4 linked regions of the Cricetulus griseus genome follow. The protein of the gene in region 1 purifies or fractionates together with the protein of each later gene. This does not show direct contact. Links are inferred from orthologs where the notes say so. Each region holds a gene or a part of one and is shown on either strand. Other genes may lie near its edges. The genes, in order: Wwox, Vopp1, Wbp2 and Dvl2.

Region 1 (4,589 bases):
GGTGAGAGATGAATGGGTAACCAGAGGTGCAGTAGATTAGCAATAGCAGGTTCAAAATCACAGACATTTGAAAAAGTTTAGGATCTCATAGGAATCAAATAGGAGAGCAGTGCTGTTACAAGTAAGTGATTTGGAATGAGGAGATGCCTCAGTGGTTAAAGCCCTTGCCATGAGAGCATGAGGACCAAGTTGGATTTTCAGAAACCACAGAAATTTATGGTGGGTGTGGCACCTTTCTGTAATTCCAGTGCTGAGACAGGGATCCCAGGAGCAAGTTGTCTGGCAGACAACAGAGACCCTGCCTCAATGAATAAGCAATTGGATAATCTTTTTATCAACGTCAGGCCTCCTCAAGCCTGTGCACATGCGTGTCCACATACACATGTACACTTCACACACATACACATATGGAGGGGAAAAAAAGACCCTAAATGTTGTTTTCAGTAAGTTAGCTTTTCACTGTATTATGTTCAGGGAAGTGTGTCTGCCCCTAAAGACTATGGAGAGGGAGGAGCTATCTCACAGCAATGATCATTTTTAGGACCTGAAGACAAAAGCAACACTGTCAGTATCCCTAACTCACCCATAAAATATGCAGTCTTTTTATAGAAGCAGGTATTCTCTCAGTCCTGGTCCAGAAGTTTTCTCTGTCACACAGCCTTGGGAAACAAGTTATCAGTAGGGCATGTTTGGGAAACTTCCTTCAGCAAGGACAAGCTGAAGGGTAGGATTTGGGTTGAGGATATAGACAGGATTCCTGTCAAGTTCTTTAAAAGCCTACTTTGTGAGTTTGTAATTAGGTAGTGCCTATGAATGAGAGAAGCCCATCATGCTTGGAAGACCATTCTCTCTAATGGAAAATCTAGAGAAATGAGAATTTGTACTTTTTGTATCTTTGGAGACATTGCCTCCTTTTATAGTATAGGCTGGTGTCAGACTTGTGTAATCCTTCTGTTTTAGCCTCCCAAATTCTGGGATTATAGGCGTGAGCTACTGCAGGTGTCTAGACCTTGTATTTTTAAGTTCTGTACAGTATAGATAGTTTTTAAAATGTCGAGTTTACAAGCACAATGAAACTTGTGAATGGAAAAACCCTGATAGTATTACGTCGGATATTTACTCTCACAGGTGTGTCCATCCTGAGGTTCATGTCAGCATGTGGCCCAGGATAATACTAAACACGGCCCAATACAAAAATAGTAAACTTCAAATATTGTGAGATTTTTCTTTTTCCTTTTCAAAATTTGAGCGGTTCTCCAGCATAAATTTTGTATATGACAAAGTCACAGTATCGAGTCTCAATGTTGACTGAGCATACACACCTGCAAGCGAAGAACCTGGAGCCCAGGACAACCTCATCAGAACCCTTTCTTTTTTGCTGTACTTTAAAGCCCCGTTGAGCCTGGACTACATTTCCCAAGATACCCCATGGCTGGGACTCATTCAAGATTGGGTAAAACAATGAGGAAGTGATTTCGGGTCGCCCAGCAACGGGCGGAGTCCAGAGACGTGAATGGGTGAGCACGCCCCTTTCAGGAGGGTAAAGAAGCTTATTCCAGTTTCTGAGCCGTTCCTGTCTTTCCTTCCAGCCGCAGGGCCCTTTGGTCTCTTCTGAGCTTCCACCACCTCTCTCCTCAGGCTCCGCCCCTTTTCCCGCCAGTCGCCGCGAAAATAGGAAACTGGATTGCAGCTGCGGATCGGCTGGTGGAGCAGTGCGCAGGCGCGTGCGGTCGGGGGGAGGGGGCCCCTGATGCGCGCGGCGCGGTTGAAGGTAGAGTGAGTTGCTGAGGTGACCCGGTGAATACTTGTATCTCCACCATGGCAGCTCTCCGCTACGCCGGCCTGGACGACACGGACAGTGAGGATGAGCTGCCTCCGGGCTGGGAGGAGAGAACCACCAAGGACGGCTGGGTATACTACGCCAAGTAAGCGGCCTGGAGCGGCGCTCGCGGGGGCCCGTGCCCTAGGAGGCCTGGATCCTGTGCTGTCCAGCCCGGTGGGCATGCGCATCCAGATTGCCAGCCACCTGTCCCGGGTTCCCCATCCTTATGGGCTCAGGGTCAAGACCAGGTCACCTGGCCCCCTGCAGCACGCCCCCTGCTGCTCATTAGGTGGCACTGCACTGTGCGTTGATGGCTCATGGGTCTTTACTAAGGAGGAAATGGAGCAAACTTCAATACCCAGTTCCCGCCAAGGGGACCCGGGTTGGAGACCCAGCAGTCTGTATTTTTAAACAGAGGTCCTGGGTGGCTCACAGTGGTTTCCCAGGGAAGATTTGGAAACTGCAGCAGAGCCTTTCTAATTACTAATCGTGACCTCGGGCCACTGACGGCCAGGACTGATAGTCTGTTTTCCCGTCAGTAAAATGAGTTGACACAAGAATGAGTTCAGTGCTTTGCATAAGGCACTCAGTGGAGAGGCTTGTGGGTTGTAGATCTCCCGTTGTGCCGGCATTAGTTGGACTGTATCTCTGGCAAGAGTTGCTTAGGCCTGATGTTGGAATTACGTATGTGGTCTCCTTCCTCCTACTCCCATCCTTTTTTTCTGAGACAGGAAACCTGGCTGGCCTGCAACTAGCTTAAATAGACCAGGCTGACCTCGAACTTTCACAGATCCACCTGTCTTTACAGGGTCTCACCGTGTGTGTAGGCCTGGGTGACCCAGATCCTCCACCCCTAGTATCTGGGTAGTGTCTTATATACATACACTGAGTTTCTATAGAGAACCTATTGCAGCTGATTCTATAGTTGGGGCGAATCTGCTCATTTTTAACAAGTACGTATTTGATGTACAAAGTCATGGGTTTTGATACAGTTAGGGGTCTTGATTGGGTTCATCTCTGCCAGCTAAAGAATTAAAAAGCAGGAAAAATCTCCAACACAACAGGTGGTAATGGAGAAATCTCCAATACCTCCAACAGCAGAAGGCCGAATCATTAATTGAAAAGCATCTATTGAGGGCTGGGAGCAGGGGAACACTTTCACACAGCAGATAAACTGACCCTCTGCAAGACAGACTATGAGGGGGGGTTCTGGAAGCCAAAAAATACAGCTTCTTTTTGAGGGTTTCCTCCCTCCCTCCCTCCCTCCCTCCCTCCCTCCCTCTCCTGCCTTCCTCCCTCCCTCCCTCCCTCCATCCCTCCCTCCCCATTTCTCTACCCCCCCTCTTTCTTGTCTTTGAAATTTTTCCTTCTCTAACATAAGAGTTGGCCAGTTTGAAGAAAGATAAGATGGTTGATTGACCCACAGCTGTTGGGTAACATGCCCTGATTTGGACTTGAACTTGTTGAGCAGGGGCCTGCTGGCAGGAAAAATCACACAAGGCCTTTGTTTTAAGATGTCAGGCTTTTGTCTCATTAAGGATGGTGAGGAAGAAGCTGGCCTTTGGAAGTCCACACCTTTGTTACGTAGGCCGCTCTCCCTATCTGCCAGCCTACCCAGGAGACTGCCTACCTCCTATTCCCCGGGTTTTATGGCATTCTTTATCATATGTATACTGTGTACTTTCCTAGTGTTCAGGGTCCCCCATTACTCTGTTTTGGTCCATCCCCCGCCCCCCGATTTTCTCCCTCTTCTCAAAACTTCCCCCTCTACTTTCTTATGTGTTTGTGAAATATGTTTTTAAACCAGGGTCACATGTAGTCCAGGCTGGCCTTAATTAACTTGATATGCGTTTGAGGTTGAGCTTCTGATTCTCCTTTCTCTACTTCCTGAGGTCAACAAGTGTATACGAACACACCTACCTTTATGTTTTTAAAATCTAGGAGATTCAGTCTTTTCACAGTGCTAGGAAACAAATTATTGTAATAACACCTATAATTTGTATTTTTAGTTTTAAATATTTAATTAATTTAAAAAATATGTAGACCATACTGGCTTTAAACTCACAGAAATCCTCTGTCCTCTGGGATTAGTGGCATAGTGATACAGTTTTGTTTGTCCAGCAGTGTTTTGTAACTCACACTTGCCTAGAATTCTTTATGTAGACAGGGATGACATTAAATTTCTGATCCTGTTGCCTCTTGCCTCCAGATATGGAACCACATGTTTGTACCACCCTACCTGGTTCCTGGCTTATCAAATTAAGGCTTAGTTTGTGCCCTGGAGTCTCTCCATTGATAGGTTACAAACTCCCCATAAGATTTTCAGCTACTGAAGGGAAGGGTACGGATCACTGCTGCCCCTGGTAGCCAGGTAGGAAGAAACAGAAAATGGAAAAACTGGTGAGTTCATTAATTCAAGAGCATAGAGCCCTGAAGAGCCAGGTCCCTTGGTGGGCACTGGTGATGTCCAACTAATTGAGGAGCTCTGTAAAACCAGGCAGATGACTTGTAATTAGATAGAGTGCATAGTCTGTCCAGCATGAGGTGTGTGTGTGTGTGTGTGTGTGTGTGTGTGTGTGTGTGTGTGTGTGTGTGTGTGTGTGTGAATGGGTGAGGGAGGCTGTCTAGGAGAGGTGTCACTTGGCCTGTGTCTCAGAGCACAGGTAGAAGGTGGGTCAATGTGGCTAGAAGTAAGACAGGTGGAAGGGACAGGAGGAAGAGGGACCCTAGGCAGGCCTCTGTCTGTGGTGCAAGGTTGTAAAGCCTG
Region 2 (4,730 bases), on another chromosome or scaffold:
TAATCCCAGCACTCGGGAGGCAGAGGCAGGTGGATCTCTGTGAGTTCGAGACCAGCCTGGTCTACAAGAGCTAGTTCCAGGACAGCCTCCAAAGCCACAGAGAAATCCTGTCTCAAAACTCTCCCTCCCCTCCAGGAAAAAAAAAAAAAAAGATTTGTAAAGAAGGCAGTTACCACAGTCCAGTAACCATTTGCAGGCTTTGAGTCAGTCCTGTGTGCACACAAAAGTTCCCCCAAAGAAACTACTTCTAGTAACCAGAAAGCTAAGAATATCATCAGGGCCAAAGAAGAGACTTTCGTGCTTCGCTGTAACCAACCCACTTAATGTTTCCACCAAAGGTCTTAATTTTTGTCTTTCTTTATTCTGTTACTATAAAACTTCATGAAACTATCACTGTATGGAACATGGAACTTGAGGTAACCACGAGGATTTTTTTCCTGCTTCACTTGCCAGTTGTAACAGGTATAGTTTGATGGTGCATTCTCTATCTTAACCAAATAAGTGCTTGTACCTAAAGTTGGCAAAGTATTTAAGACTTGCCCCATGAGTTTATTTTTGTAAACTTCTTCCTTCCATACTTGTTGGAGGGGGTTCTGTCATTTATCCAACACGTTATTAAACAAAATATTCAGTTTAATTCATTATTTGAGTGTGTGTGTTTCTGTGTGTGACGTGCTTGTATGAAGGCATGCACATATGCCACGTGCCCATGTGGAGGTACAATGAGTCCATTCTTCCTGTCTTAGAATTGCAGGGTGGAATTCTCTTCCTCAGGCTTTCCTGGCAAGCATTTTTACCCTGCTGAAGGCTCTCTCTGAACCTAAAGGACTGGATTTTCCTGATCTCTGCACTCAGCACCCTGTATCACAGTTGTTTAAACTAGATCTCTTTAGACTCCCTCCGTGAGCTGTTTTCTTGTCCACCTCTATGTATTGGGCCTCCAGCGCAGGTCTGATATCTTAACAAGTTCAACCAATGCTTCAGCAATTTCTGGAATCAGGTGGCAGCCGAGCCTGGTTGTGGAAAAACAAAAGACAGTGTCTGCGAAGCAAGTGACAGTGGACACTGCTGTCAGCAGCAATTGTGAGGTAAAGGGGCCTACTTCAAAGGTGATGCACATTGTGGGGTCCAAAGGTGAGGTCCTAGCACAGCCCGACAAAAGGGTGTTGGCATAAACCTTACACCGCCAACCTTTTGCTGTCCTTTCCTTGCGGTTTAACTGTCCTTTCCATCAAGCTGGGTCAGGGTGAGCTGCCCACCTCACCTGTAGAAACCACAGTGACAATGTCTCCGGAGGGTAAAAACTTCAGGACGTTCCCGGTGCTGGGCTCATCCGTGTGCATCCCCCAGCACCCCCAACACGGCGTCCTTTAAAAACCATTCCCAGAACTAATGGAGATGAGACAAGGCGGTCTCCTCCGGGAGAGGAGACACCTGGCAGTCTTCGCACCGGGCCGGCCCGCCCGCCGTCCCCGCGTCCCGCAGCGCGCCCCACAGACCTTGCCGGCTCCGAGCCCGCGAGCGCGCGCCCGTGCGGTGGGTCGGCGCGCGCGGCGAGGGCCCGGCACGTCCTCGAGCTCCGCCGGCTTGCGGCGCGTCCTGGTGCCGGCGTCGGCCGATCTCCCCGGAGTCTGCACGCCGGTCCCGGGGTGTGGACCGGCTCGGAGCCCGCCGTGCAGCCGGGCTTCGGACGGGCCTCGCGGGAGCCATGAGCCGCCGGCTCGGCAGGGTGGCGGCGCTGCTGCTCGGGCTGCTGGTGGAGGTAGGGCCGCCGGCTCCCGGCGCCTTCCGGAGCGAGGAGCGGGGACGCGGGAAGGGCCGTTGCGGGGCTGGCGGATCTGCCGTGCGAGGTGGCGGAGGGGCCTGGTGCCGGGACCCCCGGCCCTGCCCGCGCGCCGCCGCCGCCTCCCGTCTGCGCCCGGGTTGGGGAGGGACCTTTGTGCGTGTCCACACGCGCTCACGGGGCCTGGGCCGGCCCCAGCCGCGGCTGGAGGGACGCAGGGACGCAGGGACGGAGGGAAGAGGACACTTCTGCTCTTGGAAATGAAGTGCCCGCTTTTAGAGGCCGGGAGAAAATTCCTCGGGGAGCTTGGGTGGTGGTGGTGTACTGAGGGGAAGCCGCGGCAAGTTGACGGTGGGTGGGAGCGCCGCCGAAGCACAGCCAGACCGCGACCGCCGGCGACTGAACCGCGAGCGACATCCTGTGACGCCAGACACCCTTCCTGCGCCAGCGGGTTCATTCAAAGGCAAGAGAGTGTGGACTTGGGGTGTGTAAGCTCTGACGCGGGGTTTGTTCGCTCTCCCACAGCTTCACCATTTCGAGAGAATTTTTCATTAGTAAAGGCAGTGTAAGTGGGGAATGATCACCCCCTGACTGTCGCGGTCCTGCCTTCGAGACCCGTAAAACGCCCTTGGTTGGGGAGTCAGCAGTGCTGGGAAGACTTAACTGGTCTTCTCAGACGCTCGCGGGAAAGGAAGTCTTAGTTCTTTAGAAAGGAAGGTTAGTGGAGCAGTTTCTCCTTGCTTCAAGTCCCAAAACGGAGCAAAGATTGCTTGCTTCTCTCTGAAATGTTTCTTACTAGTGTTTTGTTTTGTTGTTGTTGTTGTTGTTTTTTGAGAAGTGCCACCTCTCGTTTTTCTTCCCACTTGCTCAGATTTCAAAAACGAAATCTCTGAGTGGTGATTCAACATTGACTGCTGTGGAAAAGGGAACCAGAAGCCAACGTTTACAAAAGTAAACATGTGTTTACGTTAACACATCTCTGCCAACTTTTGTAATTCGGTAATCTCGTGTGTGTGTGTGTGTGTGTGTGTGTGTGTGTGTGTGTGTGTGTGTGTGTGTTTTAACAATGCCTGATAACATTATTTAGGTTCTCTTGTCTCTCATGTGCCCACTCCTGTGTCATAGCCTAAAATGCTGCATGCCGTGAGGTGGGGTGTTCTTGCTGTTTGTGTTTTTTTTTTTTTTCTATCTTTTTGTATTCCAATGATGTTTATTGAGGAAACGAACCGTAGACTGTTGGATAGGCATGCCAACAGTCAAGGGCTTTGCATTCAAGGCCTGGAAATGGAAAAACTGTGTTAGCTTTGGGGGGGGGGCAAAGTAACCCCAAGCATGATGTGATTGTTGTTTGTCATCAGTTTTTATTTTCAACTTTTTAATCTACTGCTTATGGTGGTGTTGTCTAGAATTGCAGGAATGGGCTCTTCCCCCCCCCCCTCTGCTGATTTAAAGAATAAGAAGGCAGTAAAAACAAGCCAAGTTTTATTGCAATGAGAAACACATGCAGGGCAGGGGAAGGGAGAGTGAAGGGATAGAGGGAGAGAGAGAGAGGGAAGGAAAGAGAGGAGAGAGAGAGAGAGAGAGAGAGAGAGAGAGAGAGAGAGAGAGAGAGAGAGAGAGAGAGAGGATGAACAGAAAGAGACAGTCTCCCAGTGGGGAGGAGATCCAGACCTGAAAACCAGAGTTTATCTGGCAGAGCTAAAACTTATACTGGGAATGGGTTGAGTTTTCCCTTTCTCCTATTGGCCAGTTTGGCTAGTGCAGGAGATTGGATAATCCAGACAAAGAAACAGAAGCCGATTGGCTCCTACTATAGGAGCTCTCACTCCCCCCACCCCCCTTGTTGTAGATTTGAAAGCCTACTGAATACTTTCAGGCAGGAAAAAGCCCACTATCTAGTCTTGGTGAGGGAGAAGGAACAGGAAATCAGTTGTCTCAAACGTTCTAGTGAAAAGTATATTAATCTACTTAGAACCTCTTTTACCTGTCTGTCTGCCTGCTGGGCATCTGTCTGGTGCCTAATCCTTTAGTGTAGAAGGTTTTGTTCTATCTAGTTAGCTGTTTTGTTGCATAGGAATTTTTTTCAAATGTTGAGGATGGAACCCAGGTCCTCAGGGCCTTGAACATGGTAGTCAAAGGGAGCACTTTTTTCCGGTTCATTTAGTTTTATTTATTTTTTCTTAGCTGCTAGAGACTGAACCTAGGTCTTACACATGCTAAACAAGTACTCTATCCAGCCATAGTCCCTGTTTGCTTTTTAAGATAGAATTGTCCTATGTAGCCCAGGGCTTAGCCTCCCAAGTGCTGTCATTACAGGGATGGGTCACCATGTCTGGATGGACCTTTTTATCTTAATAGGGAATTTAAAACTTCTCTGAAGGATTGAAAAGACCCCAAAGGAAGAACTCTTGTGCTTTCACAAACTGCACTGTCTGCGTGCTGATAACATGTGTTTTCTAGGTAGCCCGCTTACACATGATGGCCATCCTCAGTACTTGTTTCTGGTAGAGAGGTGTGCCTCAAGGGTTAGCAAAACAAGCGTATGGTTTGGCAAGCACGGCGAAAGGAAGCAAGATCAGGCAATCCAAATACATAGTAAGGCAAGGCAAGGCACGAAAAGGAAGGGGAAGGGAAAGGAGGAAGAGGCACATGAAGGAAAGGAAAGGAAAGGGGAGGGAAGGAGAGGACAGGGAAGACATGCACATGGCAAGGGCAGGAAAGACTGGCAAGGCAATTTATCCCATGCAAGTTTAATGTGAGGCTTTAGTCTGGGCTTTTCCATCTTAAATTGTCTGTTTTGCATATCTTACTTGCATACTTTAGATGCCTTTGATGTCCTGTATCACCTGCTGAACTGTGCAGTGACATTACAGTGTGTGTGAGGAGACAGAGTCTTGGTGAGGGACATTAAAACAATTAGGGAAGGCATTTCATGGCTTCAGCTTCT
Region 3 (4,609 bases), on another chromosome or scaffold:
CAATTTTACTGTTTTTTTTTTTCCTAAAAAATAAAACAAAACAAAACAAAACTAATATAGCCGGACAGTGGTGGTGCTCGACTTTAATCCCAGCACCCCAGAGGCAGAGGCAGGTGGATCTCTGTGAAGATAGCCTGGTCTACAGAGTGAGTTCCAGGACAGCCAGAGCTACACTGAGAAAGCCTGTCTCAAAAATACCAAAACAACAACAATAAACAAACAACAAAAACAAACAAAACCCTAATATATAAACATGAGTCTAATGGGACTTGGGGATGCAGCACAGTAGTATTTGCCTAGCATGGTCACAGTTCTGAGTTCTTCCCCAGCAACACACACACAGCTAATAAATAAGTAAATAATAAAAGTATAGAGTCAAAGACATGATTCTATAGTTTCATTGGATCCTCTGAAGCTGGAGACACAGGTGGTTGTGAGCCGCCTGACATTGATACGGGGAACTAAATGGGCCCTCTGGGAGATCATATTTTTGTTGTTGTTGTTGTTGTTTCTATGTGTGTGTGTTTTTTTTTTTTTAATCCAAGCTTCTTTAGCTGGAGCTGTAGAAAATGTCTGTGGATAAAGCCCTTGAGATGTGTGTATATGCATGTGTGTGTCTGTATGTGTGCGTGCGTGCGTGCGTGCGTGTGTGTGTGTGTGTGTGTGTGTGTGTGTACTTGTGTGCTCGGTTTTCTGGGAAGAGTTCACAGCCTTTATCTCTAACAGTGGTTTGTGAATTAAAGGTTAATGTTCACTAGTTTTGGGGGGGGTTGTTTTTGTTTTTTTTTTTTTTTTTTTGGTTTTTCGAGACAGGGTTTCTCTGTGTAGCTTTGGAGCCTATCCTGGCACTCGCTCTGGAGACCAGGCTGGCCTCAAACTCACAGAGATCCGCCTGCCTCTGCCTCCTGAGTGCTGGGATTAAAGGTGTGGTCACCAATGCCCAGCTTGTTCACTAGTTTAAATATCATAAGTTTGAGCACTGCACTTACATTTCAATTATTACTGACACATGTTTCAGAAGTGAGGCTGAAGTTCTTCCCAGGACCCTATTTGGTAGCAATGAGCCAGGTGCTGAGCCCAGGAGGGCAGAAATCTTCTACATAAAAGCCAGAGTAAGTGAAGGAAAACCACTCTCAAACGATGAAGCTAAACAGCTCTGGTTGTGGTGGTACATCTCTGATTTCCCTGCTCTCAAAAGCCAGAGGTCGGATTGCCTCAGGTTCAAGGCCAATCTGGATGGAAACCATAGACTGAAAACCAGAGAGAGGGGTAGTGGTGGGGACACCACTGAATGGCATCAAAGTACTTGACCAGCCAAGGTACTGGACTAAGTACACCAGAGAATAAGGTTTCTCAGATTACATGACATAAGGGTCCAAATTCTTATGTCTCCTCCTCATCCCAAATACCCTTTCTTGGTGCAAAGGTAATAGAGGACTTAGAACACAATAAAAGAGGCCAGCTCAGGTTAAAGAAGTGATCACCAGCTGGACGGTGGTGGTGCACGCCTTTAATCCCAGCACTGGGGAGGCAGAGGCAGGCAGGAGGAACTATGTGAGTTCCAGACCAGCCTGGTCTACAAAGTGAGTTCCAGGACAGGCTCCAAAGCTACACAGAGAAACTGTCTCGAAAAACTAAGAATTAAAAAATAATAATAATAAAGAAGTGATCAGCTGGGCGTTGGTGGCGCACACCTTTAATCCCAGCACTGGGGAGGCAGAGGCAGGCGGATCTCTGTGAGTTCGAGACCAGCCTGGTTCTACAAGAGCTAGTTTCAGGACAGGCTCCAAAGCCACAGAGAAACCCTGTCTCGAAAAACCAAAAAAAAAAAAAAAAAAAAAAAAAAAAAAACTTGCTGGGCTGGCCAGAACCTGCCAAGAACTATGGAGACAAAATCAGCATTTCCAGTCTGTGTCACCCCACACCTTCTCTTCTGACTCATCAAACATTCTCAAGTGACAGGTCCCAAGATGGCTTTGACTTCGACCACGCCTCCCTTGGCCTTCAAGAAGACATTCAAGCTTGCATAGCTCAGGTCAAGAGAGTCTGATTTCCAATGTCCGAGCAAGAAAGGAAAAGAGAAGCGACAGAGAGGGCCCAAAAGTTGGAGAGGAAGAGTGGATGGTGCAGTGAGGGGTAGAGAAAAAAGAATCTTGCAGTTGAGAGACTTCTACTCTGGCGAGCGACTTAAGCCCTCAGGAATCCAAGAGAACCAGGGGAGCGAGCGAGCGAGCGAGCGAGCGAGCGACACAAGGGAGACGCCTTTACAAGGCCCGCGGGCGCCAGGCACTGGGTGAGCAGATGACAGCCCCTCAGTTCCACCTCTAGGGCCTCAGCCTTTCTCTTGGAACCTGAGAAGTTCTGGAATATACGAGGAGACTGGACAGGAGTGGTTAAGCAACTGTTGGCTTTGCGGTCAAGACTCTTGCCTCAGGTCCCATCGGTCACTCACAGCCCTAAGCCAGGTTATTCGCCCTGTGTGAGCCTCGCTTGCCCTACCGGTAAACCGTGTGGGATAGTTTCTGCCGCACAAGATTAGCTGTTATCTGAGGCAGAACCGACCCACGCCGCGCCTCCTGCCGCGTAGCAACCACGTAGTAAACGCCCAACACAGAGCAATTATTCTCGGACTCCATTTGGGAGGGGGCTCGCTGGCCTCACTCAGGACCCACGTCCCCGCCGCCCCGGCTCCCCCCCCCCCCCGGCTCCCCCCGGCTCCCCGGCTCCCCGGCTCCCCCGGCTCCCCCGGCTCCCCCGGCTCCCCCCCCTCACCCACGCCCCACCCACGCCCTCCAGCCCCGCCCCCGGCCGTTACCGCCCCCTCCCCCAGCGCTCCACCACCGCCCCTCCTCACCGCACCCCACCGCCCACCACACGGCGCCCGCCTCCGCCCCCAGCCTCCAGGATCCTTCCGCCGCGTCCTCACCTCTCAGTGTTGTTGACGATCACTCCGCCACCCTCCGAGTGATTCTTGTTGAGCGCCATAGTCTCTCCTCCCACTGGGGTCCCGAGACTCGCAGCGCTCTGCGCCTGCGCCGGTCTTCGGCCCGCCTCCAGTGGCGTCGTTCGTATTACAGCCAGCCAATCATCGCTCCTGCGCGCAGGCTGACCAACCACCTGACCTCCGATGTCACGTGGCGAGAGTTTACTCCCGCTCCCCCTCCCCCAAGTCGCACCTGCATCACAAACAAGCCGCGGACTACAATTCCCAGCAGGCGATGGTTCCCTCAACCGCGACCTCTCCTTGCGTTGAGTGGTGGTTGAATTCTGGGACTTGTAGTCTTTTTTTTAACTCTAGGACAGGCTTGCTAGGTTATTTACAAAGTCTTAAACATCTGTACGCGTCTCCCAAACCGGCCTCCTCGTGTTAAGCAAACTCAATTGGAGAGATGTAACTTAAACGTGGTGACTTGGTGTGTGCCACCTTTAAACCACTTAATGAGCCGCCTTCGTCCTCGCCCATACTCTTGGCTGTGCGAGACGTAGCCCTGTCTAAGGTGGACTGGAACAGTCCCAGCAAAATACGCTTTAATCACCTCCAACCGTGACCCCGCGAGTCGGACAGTGTGAACTTCTGGGGAGAGTGATCGGCTCCCCACCGTCCTCCCCACCGTCCTCCCCGCCCCCTGCACCGGCCACCCCTGCACCGGTCCCCTGAACCGCCCCCCTGCACCGCCCCCTGCGCGGCTCCCTGCGCCGCCCCCTGCACCCTCTGGCCTCACGATGGCGCTGCGCCCTCTCAGTCTAGCTCGCTAGTCTAAACAGCAGGACTTTGAAGACCCAGGCGTGGGTGTCTGTCCACTACGTTGCAGAGAATCTGAACTCCATCTGAGGTGGCTCTTTCGCGGGCCGGGAAGGACTGCGGGACGTCCTCACTATCCCTAGATCTGGGGGATCAGGGTTTGGTCCCAAGCAGACAGCATAGCGGTTCACATCCCAGCATTTGGGAGGCTGAGGCAGGAAGCTGCGGCAAATTGGAGGTCAGCTTGGGTTGCATAAGGATTTCCAGTCCAGCCTCAGCTATTGTAAGACGCTGTCTTTAAAAAAAAAAAGTGGTGGTGGTGTAGCGTGTGTGCGTGTGCGTGTGTGTGCGTGTGCGTGTGTGTGAATAGATGGCTCAGCAGCTGAGAAGGAGGGGTCCCGAGATTGCTTTCCAGCACTGAGGTCAGGCGCTGACGTCTCTGGCCTTCTCATGCATCATATATATATATATATCATAGATGTGCACACATACACATCATTAAAAACTAATGAAAACACATTTTAAAAATGTTTATTTCCACTTTATGTATGTAACGGGTTGTCTGCATGCATGCATGTGTACTACAGTGTGTACAGGAGCCGCAGGAGGACACAGGAGGGTGTCACATCTCTTGGAGCTGCAGATCCAGATGGTTATAAACTGTTTGTATGGGTGCTGGCAACCAAATTCGTGTCTTTTGCAAGGACAAGTTATCTTGGCTGCTGAGCCACCTTTCTGGTCCCATAAAGTAAGTCTTCTTTTAAAAAAAGTAAAATCCAACTCTATACGGTAATATACAGAATGTTGAAGAAATACACTTTTATTTGCATAAAAATAAGATACTGATAGTCTTCAGGCAGGAATTGC
Region 4 (4,557 bases), on another chromosome or scaffold:
GAGCCAACCCTTAAACACTAAACAAACTTTGTCTTTCCAGGTGATGACTCATGGGATCTGATCACGTGTTACTGCAGAAAGCCCTTTGCTGGGCGGCCCATGATCGAGTGCAGCCTGTGTGGGACGTGGATCCACCTCTCCTGTGCTAAGATAAAGAAGACCAATGTTCCTGACTTCTTTTATTGCCAGAAATGCAAGGAACTTCGGCCAGAGGCCCGGCGGTTAGGGGGTCTCCCCAAATCGGGAGAACCTTGACATCACTCTTGAGGCTGGAACTTGTGACTTTACTTGGGAACTGAGGCTCAGAGTCTTCAGCCTCTTCAAAGCAGGAATTCCCGAGGGAGACTTGTTTGGAATTGAGTGTCTTGTACGCTGTCCTTCCTGCTCCATGGACTTGAATTAGACCCATTACATCTGGGTCAGGGGAGGCTGGATCTGTAGACAAGTCTCTGTCCAGTCAACCTACCACCCTTTGACTTTCAGGGCCAGGGCTCAAACTGGGATGTAATGGGATAGTTGTCTATAAAATTGTAGTGTAAATACAGCACTCCCTCATGTTTTCTTCTCTCTCACTCCCATTTGCTTTCTTCTACACCGGTTGTTTTTAATTTTGGGCTCCCATGTTTGAGCAAAGTGGTTGCTCAAAGGCGGAGTACCATAGCTGGTGGAGTGGGGGAGAAAAGCAAAAAGGTGTCAATTATCACTAGCCTCATTTTTAATAATATTGGCTGGCTGCTTGTACAGACAGCCAGCGTGTTGTAAATAAAGCAGAGTGGGCTCTTGTGTTTTACAATCCTCGTTGTCCTATTTGGGGAGGGGACCTGGCAGATGTCTCGATGTAATTAGGGCTGAAACCGACTCTTATGATCCAGAGATATAATCCCACAATTTGGGAGGTGGAGACAATTTAGGGGCTAAGGCTGGCTTCCACTACATGAGACACTGAATCCCCCATCACCCTCTCTCACTCAAAAGTCAAATCTTGAAAGGTCTAGTTTTCAGCGTTCTCAAACCAGAAGTCGTCCTAGAGGTCCAAGTTGGTTTGCAGTTCTCGATTTACCAGTACCCTCCCACACCCCCATAGTTGCACCTGAGGTGCTTTGAGCTCTGGGCCTGGGATGGGTAAAACAGTGGGAGCCAGTTGCCAGCATTCTAAGAGTCAACGGGGTTGGCCATAGTACTTGGTGTGGGGCGGGGTACACGTTTGGGGGCGGAGTCTTCTAGGGCTGAAGACCGTTGCTCAAGGCAGCGATCACGTGAGTGTCTAGGCGGAGCTTCGCAGTCACGTGACACGAGCGGATCACGTGAGGGCAGTCGGCTGCGCAAAGTGGGCGGGCTTGTGTCACGTGGCATGGGGAGAGGTGGGCGGGGACCTCGATACTGTTCGCGACGTAGGTGGTGGTGTTGGACCTCGGCTGTGGGGTCCAGGGTTCTGGGTCTCGCTCCACGGCTCTAAGCTATCACCCTGCTGCTCCACGCCGTCCTCCTTGGGCGCGTCTCCCGCACTGGCCCTGCCCTGTCGGCGCTAGCACGTCAATTTGCGGGTGTGCGCAGGCGCGGCGGGGGCGCTTAGTCCTGTTGGGTGGGCGGCTGAGCCCGGGAGCGCGCGAGCGAGACCATGGCGGGCAGCAGCGCGGGGGGCGGTGGTGTAGGCGAGACGAAGGTGATTTACCATCTGGATGAGGAAGAGACTCCCTACCTGGTGAAGATTCCTGTCCCGGCGGAGCGCATCACCCTCGGCGATTTCAAGAGCGTTTTGCAGCGGCCCGCGGGCGCTAAGTACTTTTTCAAGTCTATGGATCAGGATTTTGGGTAAGCGTGAGGCCTAGACTGGGAAGGACGATGGATGTGCTGGAATGGATTGGGCGATTTTGAGGGGGACTGGACTGCCTTGGAATTTTTCTGGCCTGTTGTAGAACATAGCATATTGTACTATGCTAGAGTAGATCGCCCATCCCAAGACGGACAAGGTTGGACACACAGAGCTTGGGAAGAACGGGCTGGACTTCAGTAAACCAGAGGCAAGAAAATTAGGTTGGAATAATGGGGCACACTGGTTTGTTTGGCCATTCTCTCTACTTGATTTTAGCCACAAGGCTAAGAGGCGATGCTTGAGGATATTTTAGGCTGTGCTGAGATTAGATTCAACTATCTTTTGGTTGTCTGGTATGTTCTCAGACGTCTTCACAAGGATTGTATAGGAATATTCTGTAGGGTTATTTTGTTTGTTTGTTTGTTTGCTGGTTTTGATTTGGTCTTTTGTTTTGAGACAGGCCTTACTCTTTGTATCCTAGGCTGGCTCCGAACTCATGGAGTTCCTGCTTTCAGCCTTGAGAGCTGGAGTTAACAGGTGTGAGCCAATATGCTGGGCATGCAGTGTCATTATGTAGATTGAGCTATACTTAGACAATTTAGGCTATCCTGGCTTATTAATTAGGTCCCATAGTATTATTTTGAGATCTGAAATAATGCAGAGAGGTCTGTCGGGGATAGGTTGGACTGTTTTGAATAGATTTTTTTCTGGCAAAGTTTGCAACCTTCTGAACTCTACTGGGTTCTTTTTATTTTCTCTTAGGAGTAGATTCCCCTCCCCCTACGGGGGAAATTGGAGGTTTGTTTGTTTATTTTAAAGATATTTTATGTGTATGGGTGTTTTGCATGCGTGCATATTTGTGCACTACAAGCATGCAATGCCTCAGAAACCAGAAGATGGCTTGGGATCGCTTGGAACTGGAGTTATGTATATGTTATCCTCTATTTAGGTGCTGGGAATTGCACTCCAGTCCTTTGGAAGAGCAGCCAGTGCTCTTAACTGCTGAGCCAGGATTTCATCCTGTAACTAAAGCTACCTAGAGCTCACAATGTAGAACAGACTCACCTTGAATTTGTAGCAGCCCTGCCTCTATGTCTGCATCCTTCATGCTGAGGCTAGAGGTGTGTGACACTATACCTGGCCCAGACCTGGGTTTACTGTGTTACAAGATAGGAATAGGCTGGTGGAGTCCGTGCATATTGTATTGGGGTATTGCAATCAGTACTGGTGCAGACAGCTGCTTGTGTGGAGGCACTGGGGCTTTGCTAGATTAGATGGGGGTTGTTCTGGGGTAATTTGGGACATTCTGGGTGATCCTGGGCTGGAGTAGAACTCTTGAGTAAGGCAGCCTTTTGTTTTGTAGCTATTGAGACCGAGTCTTGTGTGTCCTCAGGCTCAAGGTCTGAAGATAGAGTGCATTGGATTCTGATGTTCTGAGTTGGCATAAGCAAGGATAGCAGGGTACTGGGGAGAAAAAGGTTATCTACCACCTGGGTTGGAGCAAGGCTCCTTACCTGTGGTTGGAGCACATTCCCCATTAGCTAGAACTGAACAAACTGGACTCTCACTGAAGATTTTTCGACATGGGCAGAGTGATACTATCTAGGGGGTTGTCTTGGATTTGAATCTTGGTTCTTCTTTTTGCATTATAATTTTAGGCAATCTATTTAACTTTTGTGCTTTGATTTCTTCATCTGTGGCATGATGATAATCATAGTGTAAAATACTTAATTTAGGTGCAAGCACATGGTAAATCTTGGTGGCTGGTAATTTTCATTTAGTATTGAGGCTAACTAGTTCATAGACTAGATTATAGTGATACAAAATTGCCTGCTTTGGAGGAGACTGGGCCACGCTGGGTTTGATGAGGTTGGGTTATGTTGGGAAGAGTTGTATACACTGAGCAGACCCCTGGTGACTGGGCTATGTTGTCTTGGCAGCTAATATATGAGGAATATACCTTCAAAATGTGGCATATACCCAAGGCCCCCAGAGCATATTAGGCTAGTGTTAATCAATCAAGAGGTTTTATTTTAATTTTTTCATTATTTTTATGTATATGAGTGTTTTGTCTGCATGTATGTATATCATGTGCATGCCTGGTGCCTGTGAACATTAGAAGAGACAGAGCCCAGAACTGGAGTTACAGATGGTTGTGAGCCACTATGTGGGTGCTGGAAACTAAACCTGGGGCCTTTTGGAAGAGCGATAAATGCTCTTAACCACAAGCCAACTCTCACTAAGCCAGCCCCCAGACAAGAAGTTCTAATTTGAAGGTGAGGGTGTTGTGTATGTGAAAGTAAGCCTCATGGCTCATATTTTGTCACCATGTATTTGCTAATGCTTACTAAGTATCAAGGCTGGTGCTGCACACCCAGGACACATGTTGAACAGAGTAGGTGCTAATGATTTCTTGTGGGTATTGAGAAGGAACAAGTTTAATCCGAGGCGGGAGCCTGTGGGAGGCTGGCCACCAAGGCTGGGCTTCAGGATGTTTCAGGCTGAGCAGATTGCTTAGTGAGATGAGGCAGCCAGGAAACGGGAAGCCTCTCATCCCCTCTCAGTGGGCGCTTTCCTGGTGTGGAGTGTTACTGTCACATTGAAGGGTGTTTTCACCTAGCAAAGGCCACACATTTGGATGTCTCTGGGTGTGAATTAGAACTGAAAGGCTGTGGAACAGCAGAGGAGTACACGAGTACCAGGGCCTTTAATGGGACAGATGTGTAGAACAGAGATAAGGTTAG

The links.
Region 2: the proteins of Wwox (region 1) and Vopp1 purify together in Homo sapiens (affinity purification with mass spectrometry; 3 studies listed by BioGRID and IntAct, with this or other methods). This does not show direct contact. The link is inferred for Cricetulus griseus from reciprocal best matches to the Homo sapiens genes WWOX and VOPP1.
Region 3: the proteins of Wwox (region 1) and Wbp2 purify together in Homo sapiens (affinity purification with mass spectrometry; 3 studies listed by BioGRID and IntAct, with this or other methods). This does not show direct contact. The link is inferred for Cricetulus griseus from reciprocal best matches to the Homo sapiens genes WWOX and WBP2.
Region 4: the proteins of Wwox (region 1) and Dvl2 purify together in Homo sapiens (affinity purification with mass spectrometry; 4 studies listed by BioGRID and IntAct, counting the BioPlex papers as one, with this or other methods). This does not show direct contact. The link is inferred for Cricetulus griseus from reciprocal best matches to the Homo sapiens genes WWOX and DVL2.

The regions. Positions count from the first base shown.
Region 1 is NC_048596.1:191,027,034-191,031,622, forward strand, and holds the start of Wwox (WW domain-containing oxidoreductase), read left to right. Parts: upstream 1-1,707; 5' UTR 1,708-1,818; coding exon 1,819-1,925; intron 1,926-4,589. UniProt on the Homo sapiens protein: Putative oxidoreductase. Acts as a tumor suppressor and plays a role in apoptosis. Required for normal bone development. May function synergistically with p53/TP53 to control genotoxic stress-induced cell death.
Region 2 is NC_048601.1:83,978,107-83,982,836, reverse strand, and holds the start of Vopp1 (vesicular, overexpressed in cancer, prosurvival protein 1), read left to right. Parts: upstream 1-1,640; 5' UTR 1,641-1,708; coding exon 1,709-1,762; intron 1,763-4,730. UniProt on the Homo sapiens protein: Increases the transcriptional activity of NFKB1 by facilitating its nuclear translocation, DNA-binding and associated apoptotic response, when overexpressed. May sequester WWOX in lysosomal vesicles and thereby regulate WWOX role as tumor suppressor.
Region 3 is NC_048600.1:128,669,988-128,674,596, forward strand, and holds the start of Wbp2 (WW domain-binding protein 2), read right to left. Parts: upstream 3,085-4,609; 5' UTR 2,986-3,084; coding exon 2,927-2,985; intron 1-2,926. UniProt on the Homo sapiens protein: Acts as a transcriptional coactivator of estrogen and progesterone receptors (ESR1 and PGR) upon hormone activation. In presence of estrogen, binds to ESR1-responsive promoters. Synergizes with YAP1 to enhance PGR activity.
Region 4 is NC_048600.1:83,846,393-83,850,949, forward strand, and holds the start of Dvl2 (segment polarity protein dishevelled homolog DVL-2), read left to right. Parts: upstream 1-1,618; coding exon 1,619-1,812; intron 1,813-4,557. Other genes in the region: Phf23 (PHD finger protein 23), read left to right, coding at 41-255.